Kluyveromyces lactis: one gene and its partners. The protein of the gene in region 4 interacts with the protein of the main gene of each other region in a pairwise test. Links are inferred from orthologs where the notes say so. Each region holds a gene or a part of one and is shown on either strand. Other genes may lie near its edges.

Evidence for each region.
Region 1: the proteins of HFI1 (region 4) and SPT8 interact in binary tests that used the Saccharomyces cerevisiae proteins (3 or more experiments, as listed by UniProt). The link is inferred for Kluyveromyces lactis from reciprocal best matches to the Saccharomyces cerevisiae genes HFI1 and SPT8.
Region 2: the proteins of HFI1 (region 4) and TAF6 interact in binary tests that used the Saccharomyces cerevisiae proteins (3 or more experiments, as listed by UniProt). The link is inferred for Kluyveromyces lactis from reciprocal best matches to the Saccharomyces cerevisiae genes HFI1 and TAF6.
Region 3: the proteins of HFI1 (region 4) and TAF5 interact in binary tests that used the Saccharomyces cerevisiae proteins (3 or more experiments, as listed by UniProt). The link is inferred for Kluyveromyces lactis from reciprocal best matches to the Saccharomyces cerevisiae genes HFI1 and TAF5.
Region 5: the proteins of HFI1 (region 4) and TRA1 interact in binary tests that used the Saccharomyces cerevisiae proteins (3 or more experiments, as listed by UniProt). The link is inferred for Kluyveromyces lactis from reciprocal best matches to the Saccharomyces cerevisiae genes HFI1 and TRA1.

Annotation. Positions count from the first base shown.
Region 1 is NC_006042.1:819,331-823,097, reverse strand, and holds SPT8 (SAGA complex subunit SPT8), read left to right. Parts: upstream 1-1,353; coding exon 1,354-3,264; downstream 3,265-3,767. Other genes in the region: putative ATP-binding cassette family ATPase CAF16, read right to left, coding at 238-1,059; GTPase-activating protein GYP8, read right to left, coding at 3,367-3,767. UniProt on the Saccharomyces cerevisiae protein: Component of the transcription coactivator SAGA complex. SAGA acts as a general cofactor required for essentially all RNA polymerase II transcription. At the promoters, SAGA is required for transcription pre-initiation complex (PIC) recruitment.
Region 2 is NC_006042.1:978,993-982,488, forward strand, and holds TAF6 (TATA-binding protein-associated factor TAF6), read left to right. Parts: upstream 1-1,430; coding exon 1,431-2,981; downstream 2,982-3,496. Other genes in the region: ARC40 (Arc40p), read left to right, coding at 1-612; DAD3 (Dad3p), read right to left, coding at 803-1,060; SLD3 (Sld3p), read right to left, coding at 3,022-3,496.
Region 3 is NC_006041.1:2,087,367-2,091,320, forward strand, and holds TAF5 (chromatin modification protein), read left to right. Parts: upstream 1-1,149; coding exon 1,150-3,630; downstream 3,631-3,954. Other genes in the region: GPI2 (phosphatidylinositol N-acetylglucosaminyltransferase), read right to left, coding at 3,818-3,954. UniProt on the Saccharomyces cerevisiae protein: Functions as a component of both the DNA-binding general transcription initiation factor complex TFIID and the transcription coactivator SAGA complex.
Region 4 is NC_006038.1:904,144-907,422, reverse strand, and holds HFI1 (Hfi1p), read left to right. Parts: upstream 1-1,468; coding exon 1,469-2,767; downstream 2,768-3,279. Other genes in the region: KLLA0_B10373g (uncharacterized protein), read left to right, coding at 1-764; CIK1 (Cik1p), read right to left, coding at 2,891-3,279. UniProt on the Saccharomyces cerevisiae protein: Component of the transcription coactivator SAGA complex. SAGA acts as a general cofactor required for essentially all RNA polymerase II transcription. At the promoters, SAGA is required for transcription pre-initiation complex (PIC) recruitment.
Region 5 is NC_006042.1:2,059,514-2,063,493, reverse strand, and holds the start of TRA1 (histone acetyltransferase TRA1), read left to right. Parts: upstream 1-1,166; coding exon 1,167-3,980. UniProt on the Saccharomyces cerevisiae protein: Essential scaffold subunit of the transcription coactivator SAGA complex. SAGA acts as a general cofactor required for essentially all RNA polymerase II transcription.

The DNA of each region.
Region 1 (3,767 bases), on a different chromosome or scaffold from region 4:
TTTTATTCGCTTCGTATTATGCTTTTCATTCTTTTCGTTCCCTCGAGGCGAAATCCCGTAAACGACGTTATACGATTGGCAGCATTACGTTTTTTAAACGAGGAAGGGAGGGAACCTAGGCAATGGACCGATATATTACTCACGTGATTTATCTTTCGCTTTGTGTATGATTAAAGTCTGATTATGTATATATAGTATATTACAGACATATATCGGTTTGACCGTTTAGAAGTTGAATCAAAGCTTTTGGTCTTCGACTTGGTCTCTGGTCAACCAGTGGAGTGCAAGCGGGTATAAACTCTTCATGTAGCCTAGTATCACGGTGTGTCGTCCGTTGTCCTTTCGCTCTTGGACGCCCTCTATTTCCTTTGTAAAGTGGATATCACGTTGGTAATCCAACGTTCTTGTGATGGTGCCATCTTGCAAATGGATAATCTCATCAGCCCATGGTGCTAGCCCATCGAAAATGTGCGTTGCATACACAACGCTACATTGTCTGTCTCTCGTTTCTCGATCCAGGAATTGGAATAGACGGTCACGTGCCACGACATCCAAGTCCACAGTGACTTCGTCTAATAGCAGAACTTTGAAGGGTTTCAATAAACCCATGCACAGTTGTACACGTCTCTTTTGGCCATCGCTAAGTTTGAACATTCTCCAATTGATATCCACTTCCAAGATTCTCACTAGCTCTTCACCTCGAGCCCTGTAGTGGCTTAGTCCGATACTCTCCAAGAGTTCCAGGACTCCTATATCCCTGTGTACAATAGCCATACTAGCCCATTCAGTGCCTAAGTAAGTAGTCAGTATCACGGACTCCTGGTCATTGTTTGGTGCGAATGGGTTCTTGTTTCCAACTTTTATGTTCCCACCGAGACACAAATGTTTACCACTTAGTAGTTTCAACAGCGTAGATTTTCCAGCACCGTTGTTACCCACCACTAAGACTTTCTTGTTCCATTCGACACTTAGCGATAGATCGTGGATTGCTGAGCGTTTACTTCCGGGGAATGCGTACGTTAGATCGTGCACTTCCACTGCTAGGTCGTTCGAGGCCATTATTTGTTTTGGCTTGTAGTTTTCAAAGGTTTGAGTGACTTGTTCTATAGTTAGATACCGATTGAGCGGTGATTAGAAGCTCCGCCAGTGTATAATAGGATCGTTATCTTGTTGTCTCCATTTGAAAGTGTTCTGATTCAATTTGATATTTGGAAAATAAAACTGTTGATATTGAAATGATTTCAACCAAAATAAACCTGTCTGTACGAATTTAGGACACAGTGAATATGACAGGAAACACTGTAACACATCACAACAAAACATTGTCCTTTCCCACCTAAGCCACGTTCCAATATGGATGATGATGTGGATGAAATCTTGAATCAAAATAACGTTCAAAATACTCAAGATGATGATGTTGACATGGACGATGAATTGGAGGATGTAGATGTGGATGTTCCGAACGCCGAAGAGGACGAGCCGATGGACGAGGAAGAACAAGATGAAGATGCTGAAGATGCCGATGATGACGACGATGAGGATGAAGATCGGAGCGATGACGAAGATGCTGAAGATCGAAGTGAGGATGATGATGATGATGATGATGATGATGATGAACGCAGTGATGACGATGATGACGATGATGACGAGGAAGAAGATGAAGAACAGACAGAGAATGGTGAAGAGGGCACGAGAACGGGGGAAATTAAACAATCTAATACCCACGAAATTGGAGATGATGATGCCGAGAGTGCCGAAAAGGAATCCGCAACTTCTGAGAAGGATTCTCCATCTTCTTCAGATGGGAAATCTACTGAAATGTCAAAGCTGGATAAGATACATCAATATTATACGACTCTTTATAGATCTGCATCTGTAGCAGAATCTTATAATATACTTCCAACTGCAGCAATACCAATACAGACTAATGTACAGGCATTGACCATGTCCAAGGGTCTACGGTATCTATTTCTCGGTGGGTCAGACGGGTTTATAAGGAAGTTTGACTTCTTAAATACTGTGGATGGTAAGCTATCACTAACTATTCAGCAGAAGAACGCATTGGTGGATTCAATTGTCAATGCGGGTATCTTGACTTCTTATTGGGAGAATGAAGTACCGCAACCTCCGTCAAAAGTAAAATGGGTAAAACAAAAGTCGGAGTATCTTCCTCTCGTCTCACCTGTCCACTCCTTGGCGGTTCAAAATGAATGTTTGTTCATACTAGCCGGACAAGAAACTGGCGGTATCGTAATGCAGGGTGTTAGATATTTTGAAGGGAGGACTGCACACTATTTTAAAGGTCATAAATCCATCGTTAACCATCTTGTACTTAATGATGAGGAAACTAGGTTTTTATCGGGTTCTTGGGACAAAACCGTCATTGAATGGGATTTGGAAACAGGAACTGATATAACCAAGTTCAATGCTACATCACAGTTGTCTTCATTAGAATTCAGACCCACCAATGCCGCCTACGAACTTCCTGAGCCTAACTTGAGTGGACACAATCCTGATGTCGATAGCAATAATGTAGTTGGCAACGGAGATGCAGCTGATATCGATGATGTTGATACTAATTCATTGTTTGGTGATGATGATGATGATGATGATCAGGATGATCAACACGTAGCTACCAACGATAATACCGAGAAAGCTGAAGATAATACTCAACAAGAAAACAAAGATAAAAATGAGATACAAGAACACACATCAGAAAAGAAGGTCGAATCAGAAACCATTAGTAAGAATACTTTAGCTTTGAAAACGGATGAAAACTTATTTTTGACGTCTTGCATTGATGGTAATATTCAAATCTGGGATCGAAGACAACCCTCGAGCGAAATTATCAAACTTGGTCGTAATGTTTCAACACCGCCATGGTGCATGTCTGCATGTTGGTCAGTAGACGGGGGTAAAGTAATAGCAGGTAGAAGAAATGCTGTTGTAGAAATATATGATTTAAGAAAGCCCGAGGTAGTGGAAAGCAAATTAAAATTGCCATCAATTTCAGGACCCGTTTCTAAAGTGAAGGCAATGCCTAACAATAGCCACGTTGTTGCGGCATCTAACGATAACATCAGAATCTTTGATATTAACCATATCGATAAAACCCCACTTATTATTCCAGGACATCATGGTGGATGTATCTCAAATCTTTATGTGGATCCTACATGTAGATTCATGATTAGTACAAGTGGTAACCGAGGCTGGCAAGGTACAGCGACCGATGTAACTTTAATCTATGATATTGAACTAAATTAAACATTTGATGAAGCAGTGTTATAAGTATTCGGTAACCTGTATAAAATAAATACATGTTAAATATATCTGTATCATTACACGGAAGGCAACTAAACGGACTTATTACGGACTTAGCACCTTTTTCAAAGAATCTATCAACGAAGAACTATGTATAGTGTTGGTATGTGAAGAACCCACCTTGATTACAGCCGCAATTATGCCTATAACGAGAGACCATTTAACAAATAGTGGAATCTTTGGTGACGCTTTGACGATTTTCCTTGAAGCGTCCCATTCTATTTCTTTTGAAAGAACGTTTATTAATTCAGAGAACTCAATATTGGATACAGATATCAAACTACTGTATTTGTTGACATATTTTGCCACTCTAACCGTACTATTGTTTAGCCGTAGTCTTGCCTGGGTTAATATTTCATCCCATGATGATCGGGTTAGAAATTTCAGCAAAGTTTGTTGTACTACAGAATGTATCAGGTCCATGTCATTCTCAAAATCAATTTCAT
Region 2 (3,496 bases), on a different chromosome or scaffold from region 4:
GGTTACGCTCGTGTGTTTTCCGGTTTCATTAAGGGATTGGATACCAAGGAACAAGTTGCTGGCTCTCCATGGGGTGAGAAATTCCCATTTGGTTCTTTGGTTAGAGAATGGTACCAGGGTGCCTGGATCCACGATATCAAATGGAGATCTTCCATCGATAAGGTCGCATTTGTCACCCACGATGGTTCCTTGAATATCACTGATTACACTGACGATATTAAGAGTGTAGACAACCCAGAAGGTCTTCCATTCATCACCTTATGTTGGATCAATGATCATGAAATTTTAGCAGCTGGTTTCTCAAATCATCCTGTTTTGTACAGCGAAGGTTCAAGGGGTTGGGAAGTGTCCAAGATTTTGGATAGCCCAGTTAAGAGTGCTGGCAAATTGGTAGCATCAACTGGGGATGATGAAGAAGAAGGTGCCTTCGGTATGTCCGCATTGAGAAAGTTCAAGGAATTGGATTTGAAGGGTAAAGTTAGCCAGCAAGAAGAGAAATCTACCCATGTGAACTCAATTACAGAATTGGCTGCTTACAAGGAATCTAACAACAACGTCACTCAAGTTTCTTCTGTTGGTTTGGATGGTAAACTTGTTATATACAAGTTGTAGATATGGACGGTAAACGATTCATCTCTTCATCAAATAGTTGATCAGATCACCCCTATAACTCTTACGTTCAGAGTGAGAATACAATAAAAAAGAGTGGCCTTAGAAATGAAATATGTATATCTATGTTCATATATATTAAAATGTAATGTTACAACTCTGATTATGATTACAATAATCAGTCCGATTCCGCTCATAGATCTGAAGGTTTTTGTTGGTGATCCATCCGTCGCTGTATCACGAGTGAATATACGCTACCTTTGAGAAGCGTACTTACAAGAGATATTTTCACTTCAATTTCTCGCATCTCTTGTAAAATTGCTTCCGGTTTTGAGTCCTCATGGGTGTTGTTTAGATCTGAAAGTGTTTCGCTCAATTCCCTTAAGGACTCCGCTAGGAAGCGATATTTATCGAGCACACTTCGCTGCAATGGTGTCAGTTCCGAAGACATATTCAAAACACAAATAGTATGTTTCTTTGTAATTTGTACGTAAGCCCAAACCAGTAATGGTTACCTTTGTTGCCTTACCTTACATATTCAATTGGAACTCTATCCGGTAAACTTATGATAACGTTATTTCATTTTTGGTATTTTCCAATATTGACGAAAAACATAAACGATCGAATCCTGAAAGAATAACAACTCCATCCTTCAAAGTAAGGAATACAAAGCCAACGATTTGAATACAACACCAGCGCTCCTCTATTGCACGAACATCCACTCGAAAACTCTAGTTTCAGGTGTATACACTGAAACAGCGATAAATTTTATTCGAGTAAACGGTATTCTTTTCTTTATTCATTTGTGTTCAATTTCAATAATGTCACAGCAGTCCTCTCAGCAACAATCTTATACAATTTGGTCCCCGCATGATACGGTGAAGGATGTGGCAGATTCACTCGGAATCTCAAATACAAATGATGACGTGTTGAGGTCATTGGCGATGGATGTCGAGTACCGTATTTTGGAAATCGTGGAACAAGCGGTGAAATTTAAGAGACACAGTAAGCGATCTACTTTGACTACAAGCGATGTTGCGAAAGCTTTACGTGTCCTTAACGTCGAGCCATTGTATGGATTCGAGGAAGGATCAGCGAAAAATGAGCCCGTTAAGTTCAATAAGTTGGAGGGCGCTAATGGGCAGACGCTTTATTACCTAGATGATGAGGAGATCGATTTTGAAAAATTGATCAATACTCCATTACCAGAAGTTCCAAGATTACCAACGTTCACGGCGCATTGGCTAGCGGTAGAAGGAATTCAACCTGCCATTCCACAAAATCCAAATATCAATGAACTAAGGCTGAGTCAAGTTCCGTTGCAAAGAGGAGCAATAGTCTCACCATTAAACGAAACTTCTGTTCAAACCTCTTTACAAACAAATGTCAATGAAGAAAGACAGGCCACCGCAAATGGACCTATCTCGACACAAGTGAAACCAGGTGCAGCAAGTGAAGCTAAGCCATTGGTCAAACACGTTTTGTCTAAAGAATTACAGATATATTTCGAAAAAGTTGCTAGTGCACTTACATCGAAGGAAGAAGATATCAATTCACAACGGATGAGAGCAGCAGCTTTAACTTCGTTGAAGTCTGACACAGGACTACATCAGCTTGTTCCATATTTCATACAGTTTATCGCAGAGCAGATTACTCACCATTTAGAGGATTTGGAGTTGTTAACTACAATGTTGGAAATGATATATTCGTTATTGAGTAATCAATCAGTATTTTTGGATCCTTACATTCATTCTCTAATGCCTTCTATCTTAACACTACTATTAGCGAAGAGACTTGGTGGTAATGGCTCGAAAAACTCATCTGACGACAAGATTGTTGACCAGCAAAATAAAAAAGAGTTTTTAGAGAAGACTAATGCTGTCCGTGATTTTGCTAGCTCTTTACTCGATCACGTCTTGAAAAAGTTCCCAAAGGTTCACAAATCGTTGAAACCTCGTGTTACTAGAACTTTACTTAAGACATTCTTGGATATCAATAGATCATTCGGTACTTACTATGGTTGTGTACGTGGTGTTTCTGTCCTCGGTAACGAAACAATAAGATTCTTTTTAGGCAATTTACAAAACTGGTCGAAACTAGTTTTCGAGGAATATGACAGAAGCCAATCGGAAGACAGCAAGAGCGGAAAGAACCTAACTGACTTGGAGATAAAATTATTGTCAACAGTGATAGTGTCCACTTTAGAGAACTTGAAATCTGATCTTCCATCTTCATACAACCCTTCTGGTGATTTTAGTGAGGAGGACAAAACTCGTTTGAGAGAAAGATGCGGAATTACTGTCGGCAACGTAATACTGGAAAGAGACGATGCAAAGACTCTATACGATGCTATATTTTTTGGTGAGCTTTAGACATCAAATATGTAAATATTGTAACGAATATACGTATTAACTACGGCGCAAATAATCTCCTACGGACGTGCCTGGTTTTAACCTTTACTGGCGATGCCCTAACTGGTGTTTCTGAAACAACTGAAGGGGAAGCCACCAACACTGGGGTGTCCTTCTTTTCCTCTATAGGTTTGATCGGAGTTGCTGTAACATGTATATCCTGCTGTTTATCATCAAATCCGGTTTCTGAGATATAGCTAGCAAGTTTACGTTTACCAACTCGTTGGAAAGAGTTATTATGAGATTGAGAGATATTGATAGCTTTTCCGTTTACCAAAACAGTTCTAACAGTGCTGAACTCCTCCAATATTTGTTGTCTTTGCTTGACAATATCGTCTAAAGAAAGATCTTGCACAGACATTTGTCTTTTTTGAAGGCGATTCAGTTTCAAATCCGACGACGACCTTGACGCCATTTTGGGTTTCTTCTTTGTTGTTTCCTCCTCCAAAAACTCTACAAGGTTTGAGTTCGTTCTA
Region 3 (3,954 bases), on a different chromosome or scaffold from region 4:
AGAAACAAACGCTTTTTTGGCAAATCTAAATCGACGTACAATAGGAAAGATTATCCTACTCACAGACCTACTGATTCACTCACGCAGTGACTCAACGGCGTATGGCTTTTCTATAGAAGAAGCAGCTGGCGTTTTAGAACGGTTTGCTAGTGTATCTGATGGGCCTTGCGATGAGATGGAGCAACGTTTGACGATGGAAAGACAAGTATCAGAACTGAGAAGAAGGCGAATTCCTTTAATTTTCCAACTTTCGTGCTTGAATTCTTGTTTTTTTTCCCAACTTCACCGTTTCATTGCTGTTCAACTTCGTCTCCTGACATTAGTGGAACCCCAATGGGATTATTTTTACATGAACCGGGTAACGAAATAGTAAAATAAGGGCAACGTGACTTATAATTTCTGTTATATTACAGACGCGGCACGCATTACCTCCAATTGCCACGTCAAATGAAGGTACCCCCGTAGTATGTACATTGGTAACTGGCATCCCGCAAAATAAGCATCCCTTCTTTGGAAGTTGAAAAACACGAATCCAGATCCAATTACTGGACTCCTACCCCTGGATGGAAAAACGAAAAGGAAGTCATTTGTGGGGGGTATGGCTTTGGCATCGTGAAATAGGGATCTTCATTTACCCACCCAAGGCCACTGCAAAATTCCCGACCCTTTAAAGCCTCTCCCCACTGTTTCTCTGTACACATATATTTTATACTGGGTTCTCTAGATATGTAGCTTAACTGCGTTCTGCGAGTAAAAATTAAAATAAAGTTCGAATCGAAGTCTAAAAACGTGCTGTGGACTCCGGGGCTGTTCAACCTGTTACCCGGAGATGTACTGAAAAGATAATTCTTGAATCCGTAAAACGTGACCTTTAATTCAGATCTCTAAATGCCAGTTACTTTGTGTCTGAGAGTAGTTTCCAGGTTGAAAGTTGAATATGGAAAAAAATAAAACTGAAAAATGTGAATGAATAAGTAAACAAATAAACAGCAAATGATTGCTAAATCATTGCCTTAGCAAGCTTGAACTATACCAGTACTTGAGCTTAGGAGTAAGCTGAATAAGGAACTAGGTATACTTGCTTAGCCTTTTAAAAAAAAAAAGCGTGAAAGAGAAGAACCTCTTAGCACAGTTTCCGGCTTGCTTAATATGTCTTCGAACGGCAAACAACAGGGAAACAAGGCAGGCGATGCAGCTGGGGGAGCGTCAGGAGCCACGGCTCCCGGTGCAGGCGGAAGTAGTGGCAATGGAAATAGTAGTGCGGCCGGAAATGCTAGCGCTAATGCCAATGCTGGCGGTAGCGGTGCCAGTGGGAATGCACCGGCAGCTTCTAAACCGGGGTTTTCAGCGTCAGATTTGAACCGCATCGTTTTGGAATATTTGAATAAGAAGGGGTATCACAGAACGGAACAGATGCTTCGTGCTGAATCGTCACGTACTTTGACGCCTCCAAATAAAAACGCTGCTGCTTCTAACACAATCCCTGCCTCGTCTGCATCAGCCACTGCGATTACAGGAAGTACTACCACTGCAAAACCTGTTTCAAATCCTTCGATGCCCTTGAAAAGAGATAACAACGGCCAATTGATAAAACCGCAACAGGTGACACCCTTGCACTATTTTAGAGCTTACTCAATGTTGAAAAATTGGATCGATTCGTCTTTAGAATTGTACAAACCTGAGCTATCACGTATCATATACCCGATTTTCATTTACGTTTTTTTACAGTTGGTCATCAAGGACCCCTTACAAGCGAGAAGATTCTTTGACAAGTATTCTGTCGATTACAAAGCCCTTCATGGATCAGAAATTAACCGATTATTCAGTGTCAACTCAGTAGATCACATCAAGGAAAATGAGTTGGCTCAAGGTTTCCAAACCAATAAATATAAGATCACAATCTCAAGAACTACTTTGAACCTTTTGTTGTATTTCTTGAACGAAAACGAAAGTGTGGGAGGATCTTTGTTGATTTCCATCATAAACCAAAACTTGGATCCAAATATCGTAGATGTTGTCAAATCTGAGGATATTCTCACCGACGGGATCAAAGATATCTCAACCGGTGATATTGATGTTGATACGTATAACTCGGTACCTGTGAAGTTAGGACCGTATCCAAAGGACGAAGAGTTCACCAAGGAAGTAGAGATTGAGTTGCAGAAAAAAGATGAACAAGAGGCAGCTGAGAATAAGGATAAACCTGTCGGTAAGACATTAGTTGAGGAATATAGAGAAATGAACGGTAATCAGAACAAACCAGAGGGCACTGAAAAAGCTGATGATAACACCGTTAAGGAAGAAAATGAAAATAAGGAACCTGAAGCTGAAGAGGGTGGAGAAGAAGTCGATGCAACAGCAGATACAGAAGAGAAAGGCACTCCTACACTTAGTGTCGAATCATCGGCTGCTGAAAGAAAGAAAAGAGACTCAAAGAATAAAGACGAGGAAGAAAAACCAGAGGCTTCAATTGGATCTATGATGGAATCACCAGCAAAGGATTCGTTGCCGCTACCGGTAAAAACAACTTTAGATCTAAAGATGGAAATTCAAAAAGTAAGGGAGAGTAGAGATTCCATCCAATTGAAAAACCTACAAACTTCTGCACCAAGTGTGTGTATGTACACTTTCCACAACACTAATGGTAATATGACTTGCGTAGAATTTAGTGATGATGCTAGACTAACTGCAGCTGGTTTCCAAGACAGTACAATTAAGGTATGGTACCTTGATGGATCACCGCTACAGTCGATCCTCCCATCCAAAGCTAAAGACCAATCGAACTCTGCTACTTTGGTAGGACACAGCGGACCAGTTTATTCCGTTGCATTCAGCCCGGATAACAGGTACTTACTTAGCGCATCTGAAGATAAAACTGTCAGACTTTGGTCTTTAGATACGTTCACTTGCCTAGTGTGTTACAAAGGCCATAACCATCCAGTATGGTACGTCAAGTTTTCTCCACTTGGCCATTATTTCATCACCGCTTCACATGATCAAACGGCTAGACTATGGTCTTGTGATCATATCTATCCGTTGAGAATTTTCTCAGGTCATCTAAATGACGTGGATTGTAGCACTTTCCATCCAAATGGTTGCTATGTTTTCACTGGTTCCAGCGACAAAACGTGCCGTATGTGGGATATTCAAACAGGTGATTCTGTTAGACTGTTTTTGGGACATACATCACCAGTCACCGCACTTGAAGTATCGCCTGACGGTAGGTGGTTAACTACGGGCAGTGAGGATGGCACAATTATCGTATGGGATATTGGTACTGGTAAAAGAATCAAACAGATGAAGGGTCACGGTAAGAATCCTATCTATTCCATAACTTTTAACAAAGAAGGTAACTGTCTAGTAACAGGTGGTGCGGATCAAAGTGTTAGAGTTTGGGATATAAAGAGGTTTACAAACGAGCCTGGAATGGAGCCGGAACAACAATTCAACACGTATTCAGGAGATATGGAACTCAGTGTAAATAACGATATCAAAGAATTCGGACGTAGGCGGGCAGTAATACCAACTCAGGATTTGATGGCTTCGTTCCATACAAAGAAAACAGCAATTCACAAAGTAAAATTCACAAGAACGAACCTAGTTTTGGCTGGTGGTGCATTTATTGAGTAAATGCGATTACTTTACTCAGCCAGATAAGGGTCGTTTATTCGACATATCTAGTAGTTGTCCAATTGTAATAAATAAAAAAAAAGAGAATGCGCTTTATCTTTATATTATTTACAATGAGTACGTATATTTTATGTGCATTGATATCAATGCAGTCAATGAAATGTAAATGTTAACAGAATCCTAATAACTAATCTAATATTGGTTTTTCAGCGTCCCACTGCTGTAAAATCGGATGTCCTTTATAATAGTAGCTTTCCCAGTGGATATAGTAATGAGGGATTCCAAATAATAGTAACAAAGATGATATTCCCAAAGGTATCGTGA
Region 4 (3,279 bases):
TGATCACTAAGACGTTGTCCCCATCATCACTTTTAAAATATGAATCAATCAGTTCACAGGGAACTTATGACGAAGGGTTCTTAGATTATGATTTTTTCATATCTTCTAAGCTGATTGAACTAAACTGTCCATTTCACTGTCAGTTTAATTTTCTGACGAAAATGGGAGCTAAAGTCACCAAGGTCACAGTTTCCCTAGTGCAGCTTGTTCTGATACCATGCCTCAAATCAGATGGCATTACACCCTTGAAGAAATCGTATATCCAAACTAATACCGTCCATTTGGGTCATTATTTTCCCACTCCAAATGATAACGAATCGAAGCTGGTAACTGCTAAATTCGAAGAACTTGTAATTAACACAAACTCTAAAACAAGTTCCTTAATGACTAAGATCTTGCCATACTACTGTGAGGAATCAAGGTTAAGGTTAAGCAGGAGGAACTCAACTGAGAAACGTTTTAAACTTAAGATTACCCATCATTTAAAGATAACTGCTGGTACATCTCTGGAAGATTGTACTAACGGCACTTTTCCTGACAAAACAAGACGTATTAACATTAATTTCAAGGTGCCCGTTATGATAATTGATAAAAATATGGGTTCCAGCTTGCATTTACCAGCTTACGAACCAGCTATGGATGGTAAAGCCATGCCCGTTTCCATTGGTAGTGAATTTGATCAAACAAATAATTCATCTCTGATATACATTCCTTCAACTTCATCTAGCTGCTCTCCGCCAAGTTATAACAGCTTAGGTTTCTGAATATCCTCACCTCACAAACACAAGTATCTAATAAATAATATTTAATAAATAGTCGAGAATGTCAGTAATCATTTATCACCAATTCGGAAACAATTTGTCTCGTGACAGATTCTTTCTTGAAGTGTCGAGTGATTTCATCACATTAATGAATAAAAGTGGAATTTCGATACTTAAGGATGTAATTGAATAGCCAGAATACTATTGACAATTCCGTTCCAGGAGTGGTATCAGTGGTCAAAGTATATTACAGTAGACAGCAAGTTAGCAAACCATAGTGTTCATTTCCTCAAAAGCCATATCTCATATACCCATTACGCGTCGTATTACTGAGTACTATTTGGAATTACCCTCACTTCGCCTTTCCAATCGAATTTCGGTTTTAGTTTTCCGTTTGAAAATGAAGAAATCAGAAAATCGAATGAAATTGTATAGGATGGATGAGATTAGCGAGTTCAGGAAAGAGAAAGCCGCCCTATTTGACGGACAACAAGGTACTTCATTCGGATTTTGACTGTGCACTGACTGTGCATTGATAAGTAATTACTGATAATCTGAAAAAAGGTGACAATTTAGCCGTGGTTACCGCTCATTTTGAAACCCTCCACTGGTCAATTTTCGTCTCTGGCTACTGCGGTTTATTTCTACTTTGGTTTATTTTAGAACGCTGTCAAAAATAAAAGGCATATCGAATCACGTGACCGAGAATGTCTGTATCAACGCCAACAGTTGCAACAGGTGGTACGCCGACAATTCATGAAGATATTGGTATTAATAGCAACCATCAGAACAACAATACCAATTCGGTGAAGGAAATCAGCAAAACCAGTAATAACAATGGTGGAGGAAACGTTGGGTTTCCTCAGGATAAGCGATTGGATATTGAATCTATGATTAATGAATTTAATGAAGTTTTAAGCAAAGAGCATTGGGCGAAATATGCCAGAGTGATTTCGTTATTCATACTCGGAAAATTGTCCAGAAAGGAATTGGTCAATGAATTAGACTTACTATTTAAACCTACCCAAGAACAGCCGAATATTAAACCAAGAGATTTAATACGATTGCATAACCAACTTTTACTATCGATATTCACTAATTCTCTTAGAGAAACCACCGACGATGATCCACAATCATCGAAATGGGGGTTCCAGAACGGTTCTCAACAACAGAATAAGAGAAGATCAAACAAGCCCAACTCGCAGATCGAATTATACAAAAAAATTGTTGTTTCCCTACCGTTATCGGATAGACAACGATTAAAAATGATAACAAAGGAAGCAGGAAAACGAGGATTTGTATTATGTTCAGTGCTACAGGCTAGATTGAGACAGATACCGAAATTACCTTGCGTCTTCAACCAGGAAACTGCCAAGAGAATTCAGCAACAAGATCTGAAGGGCCCACAGGAATGGTCCCAAAAGATCATGAATGGTTTCAAAACACAACTTTCTACCGAGTCATATGTTTTACCGGATAATGAGTCTCTTTATCTTCGAATGCTAGGAATTGCAAGAGAAAATGGAATTGTTGGACAGATAGATTCGCGATGTGTTGATATCGTATCACTTGCATTAGAGTATTATCTCAAGACAATTATTGAATCCACCATAGATACAGTAAGATACAGAGAAAAGAAATACTCGGACTTCTACGACCTAAACGATGACGGGTTCCAACAAGCATCTAGTGCGTTAGCAAATAGTAAGACTGAGAGTGATAAAGCGAAGGATATTACTGGTAACAGAACTGTATCCATTACAAATGAAGACGCTTTGGACTCGTTCACGATATTCCCCAACGTTGTTGATCCAACAGGTGCATACCTTGGATTAACTACAAATGGGTTGGTAAATGACGATGAGATCGTTCATTTCAAAAGTCCTGTCGATGATCTATTTCATTATAAACGGGAAAAGCCTAACTTCACTCCCCTTGACGAAAAGAATATGGGAAGCCGGGAAGAGCTTAACTGGCTAATTAAAGATATTCTTACAAAGAAATAATGACTAACAGTATTGCGAATATTCTCAATTGAAGGAGCCAAAAGTCACTCTTCTGATTGATTTAATCGAACAATTTCCACGCTTTCATTTTTTTGTAGAATTTATAGACAGGGAATATGACTACTATTTCGGATTTGGTAGTTTATGTAAAGTTTGTGATAATTGTAATAATGAGGAATCTGGTGTATCAAAATTGAATATTATTAAGGATTCAAGTCTTAATAATAACGATTGCAAGAAGGTCGAGACTGGGCTGACAGCCGTCTTTGTGATATCAATCGCATTCATTTTCTGAATTTCCTTAGTAGGTGCTTGGATGAAAAATATGCTTTCAAAATCATCTTCTTTATCGAAGACTTCAAATTTCATAACATGAATTCCTCTGAAATCGGGAAGTATAAAATTATTCACTTCTTCAATCGGTAGTCTTTTAGAATGGAAATCAATACATTTTTCGTCAATGACAGCGGATAAATCAGAATCCTCAGAATTTAATAAATCCTTCGAAAGGT
Region 5 (3,980 bases), on a different chromosome or scaffold from region 4:
TTTCCGGTTCTTTTTTTCAAATACGTGATCCATTTGGTACGGGATTCTTTACCAAATGTGATGCAAAAAGTGATGGAAAAGGATATTTTTTCTACATGATGATCTGTGAATTTCACGCCACACTCTGAGCCTTGGTTGAAAAAACATGAATGCAAGGCGTACTTCTGGTTTTACAGGCTTTCGAAATGGAGATGAAGAAGAACAAAACAACGTAGTAGAGCTACTTTCAGCGCCTTTTCAAGGATAGAGTTAAATTCTTGAAGGAATTTGTAAGGTACAATGTAAAACAATCTATCACCTGGTTATCAGGGAAGCGCTACAAAATTGTCGAATCTTAATTAGAGCTGTACGGTGCTGGCCGAATGAACCCTTTTTTGAGAACCGTATGTAGATCTTTGTGAACTGTGAATTTATGCACACAGATTACGTCACACAGTCCAATCAATAGAAGCAGTTAATGGTTCCAGTAATAGCTAAAGGGGGGGTATTGCCTCATTTTTCGAGTTGGTAAGTAAAAACGATATTCGTTTAAGTTAGCCGCCTTGAATTTAATCGACGATTATGTTGTACTTGTTTTAATAAGATGTTGTCCGTGAAAAACACGAGTTATCGTGAGCGCTACTTACCCTTCGCCATTGTTCTATCTTTCGACACTCAAAAAATTATGCACATTGGCTGTCCGCTTATCTGCTAGAGTAACGTTCACATTTCGTGCGTATTTTTCTGTTGATGATGGCAAAGAATAAAACAAATACGTAATTTTCAATGAAAAATTAATAGCCGGGTAAGTTATTCGGATCATGCACGTGATCACTTCCTAAATAGGAATGTCATCACGTGATACAAAACTTTTCAAGGTCTACAGAGGTTTTTCAAATTGTTTTTCTTGGTACCAATTGTTTTCAAATTTCGATATGACATTGAAATCTGTACTCTCAACCAACAAAAGCGTAGTATTGATTTCAAACGAATACACGAACTTCAACCACCAAAGCAATTATAGCGCCTTATCACTAGACAACAGGTTCTATCAGCTAGCTTCGCATTTTTGTTCTTTTATTTCAACTTGCATCCTCCCTAATTCATTAATTTCAAAGGAAGACGCGGTCTGCAATTTGATTCTTTATTCAATATAGCTGAGCTGCAACGATTGTAACTTATAAGCAATGGAATCAACTGATACTCATGAGAGAATGGACACTTTTGTCGAAAGAATCAGGGATACTGAAGATGTTGCTGAAAGACATGCCATTATATCAGAACTTTACGATGTTTTGGATGTTGTAACTTCTTCAGTCGAATACGATGAGTTTTTGAAGAAGTTGTTGCCGCTCATTTTATCACAGTTGAATGATGATCAAATCTCAATGAATGCCTCATCTCCTGAACACAAGTTGAGAAATACATGTCTAGAACTTTTGAATAGATGTCCACTTAACGATAAAATGGAACCTATGGCCATGGAAGTGCTGCAATGCCTGTTAAAAATATTAACCTTAGAAAACGATGAAAATGGTGTCTTGTGTATGAAGATCCTCACTTCGTTGTTCAAATGCTATAAGCAGCCATTAGAAAGTGAAGTGAATACGTTCATTAAAATTATCGTTGGAATATATGAAAACGTACCGAACTTGGTGGCATCTACTTTCCTTGGTGAAGAAGAAACCAGCTCATCAACTGCAGATTCACAAGATTTTTCGAACTCTAATAATGAGGAGGATGCTTTCGAAAACTTGTCTGCACCGTCCAAGAAACATTTGGAAAAAGCTACAGAATCATTCAAGACTTTGTCTGAATGCCCAATTACAATGGTGACCTTATTTTCATCATATAAACATTTGATTTTAGTAGACTTACCGACTTTTTTACCACTCGTCATTGACTTACTCACTTTGGAAGTGAAACAACAGCAAAAATCCAGAGAAGAACTAGAAGCTAAAGGTGAAAAACTTATTGGGATGTCGTCAGAAATCAAAAACCGCTCTGCATTCTGTGATTATGTCCTAGCTCAAATCAAGGCAACTTCTTTCTTAGCGTATGTGTTTATTCGCGGTTATGCTACAGATATTTTGAAACTACACGTCAAGAAAGTCCCAGATTTGGTGATGAGATTATTACAGGACTGCCCAAGTGAATTATCATCTGCACGTAAAGAATTATTACATGCTACGAGACATATTCTCTCTACAAGTTATAAGAAATTGTTTCTACCCAAGATCAATTTGATGTTTGACCAAAAAGTCTTGATTGGTGATGGATTCACTTCATATGAAACCTTGAGACCATTAGCGTACAGTACCCTTGCAGATTTCATTCATAATATTCGGTCAGATTTGGCAATGGCTGACATAGAAAAAACTGTTAAAATGTACACCAGTTTTCTTTTGGATGAGTCTTTGGCTTTGACTGTGCAAATTATGAGTGCTAAGCTACTATTGAATTTAATAGAACGGATTTTAACTTTAGGTAAGAAAGACGCATATGAAGTTCCTAAGGCCAAAAAGCTACTAATGACGATTATAGAGGCTTATACTTCAAGATTCAAGCTATTAAATTCACAGCATAAGAAGATATTAAAACAACATAATGTCTACGAACAGAGTAAAAATAAGAAATCTAAGGAGATCCAAGATCAACTTGCGAAAGACAGGCACGATGTTGATGAATATATGGTTAACATCTTGAAATCAACAGACGAATTGTTACCGTCATCAGTTACTGTTGATACCAATGCCGACGTCGATGGTGATATTACTATGAGCGAAGAACCTGATATATCAGAGAAAGGTAACAGTTCGGTGCATAGTGATAATAACACATCACTGACTGTAAAGAATCAAGATAAAAATTCGGATATATCGTTCAAAGAAAACTCAGTTGAGATATTGGACTTCAATGATATACAAAATCATGCTCCAATAATTCTCTTCCAAGCGACGTCAAATGATCCTCTTAAGGACGCATTTTACTTATATCGTACTCTTCTTTCATTTCTGAAAACCATTATTCATGACTTGAAGGTTTTTAACCCACCCCCAGATGAATATACTACAATGAATCCGAAAATGTGGTCTGCATTATCAAGAGTATTTTCCTACGAAGAGGTGATCGTGTTGAAGAATTTGTTCCATGAATGTATAGCTGGTCTACATCTATTTTCTTCTAATCCAGAGGGCATTGATCCATCCACAGTAAAAGCACACTTCGATATAACTACACCTAGCTTACCTGTGTCAGCAACTAAAGATGGTCGAGAGTTGATGGATTATTTCGCTATTATTTTCATGCAAATCGACAGTCCTGTCTTCAATGAAATCGTTGAGAGTGAAATCGTCTTTATCTACGAATCTTTACTACGCGATTCAGCTTTGTTGCATGTTGCTCAATCATTCTTGACAAGTGAAATCACATCTCCCAATTTCACCGGTATTCTTCTAAAGTTCTTGAATTCCAAACTTCCAGAACTAGGGAATGTGGACAGTAACAAATCAAATATACTCATCAGACTATTCAAGCTATCATTCATGTCTGTCAATCTCTTCCCTATTACCAATGAGGCGGTCTTGTTACCTCACTTGAATAATTTGATTTTAGATTCTTTGAAGTATTCGACAGAGGCTGAAGAGCCTTTGGTGTATTTCTATTTGATAAGAACATTGTTCAGAAGTATTGGTGGCGGCAGATTTGAAAACTTGTATCGTTCAATAAAACCAATACTTCAAACTCTTCTACAGTCCCTCAATAAGATGATCCAGACAGCTTGTCGCCCTCACGAACGCGATTTGTATGTGGAGCTCTGTCTCACTGTGCCTGTGAGGCTTAGTGTATTGGCACCATATTTGAATTATCTAATGAAGCCATTAGTGTATGCCTTGGTTGGATTTCCAGAATTGATAACTCAAGGATTAAGGACTTTGGAGTTATGTATCGACAATCTAACTCCAGAGTATCTAGACCCGATTTTGGAACCAGTTGTCGGT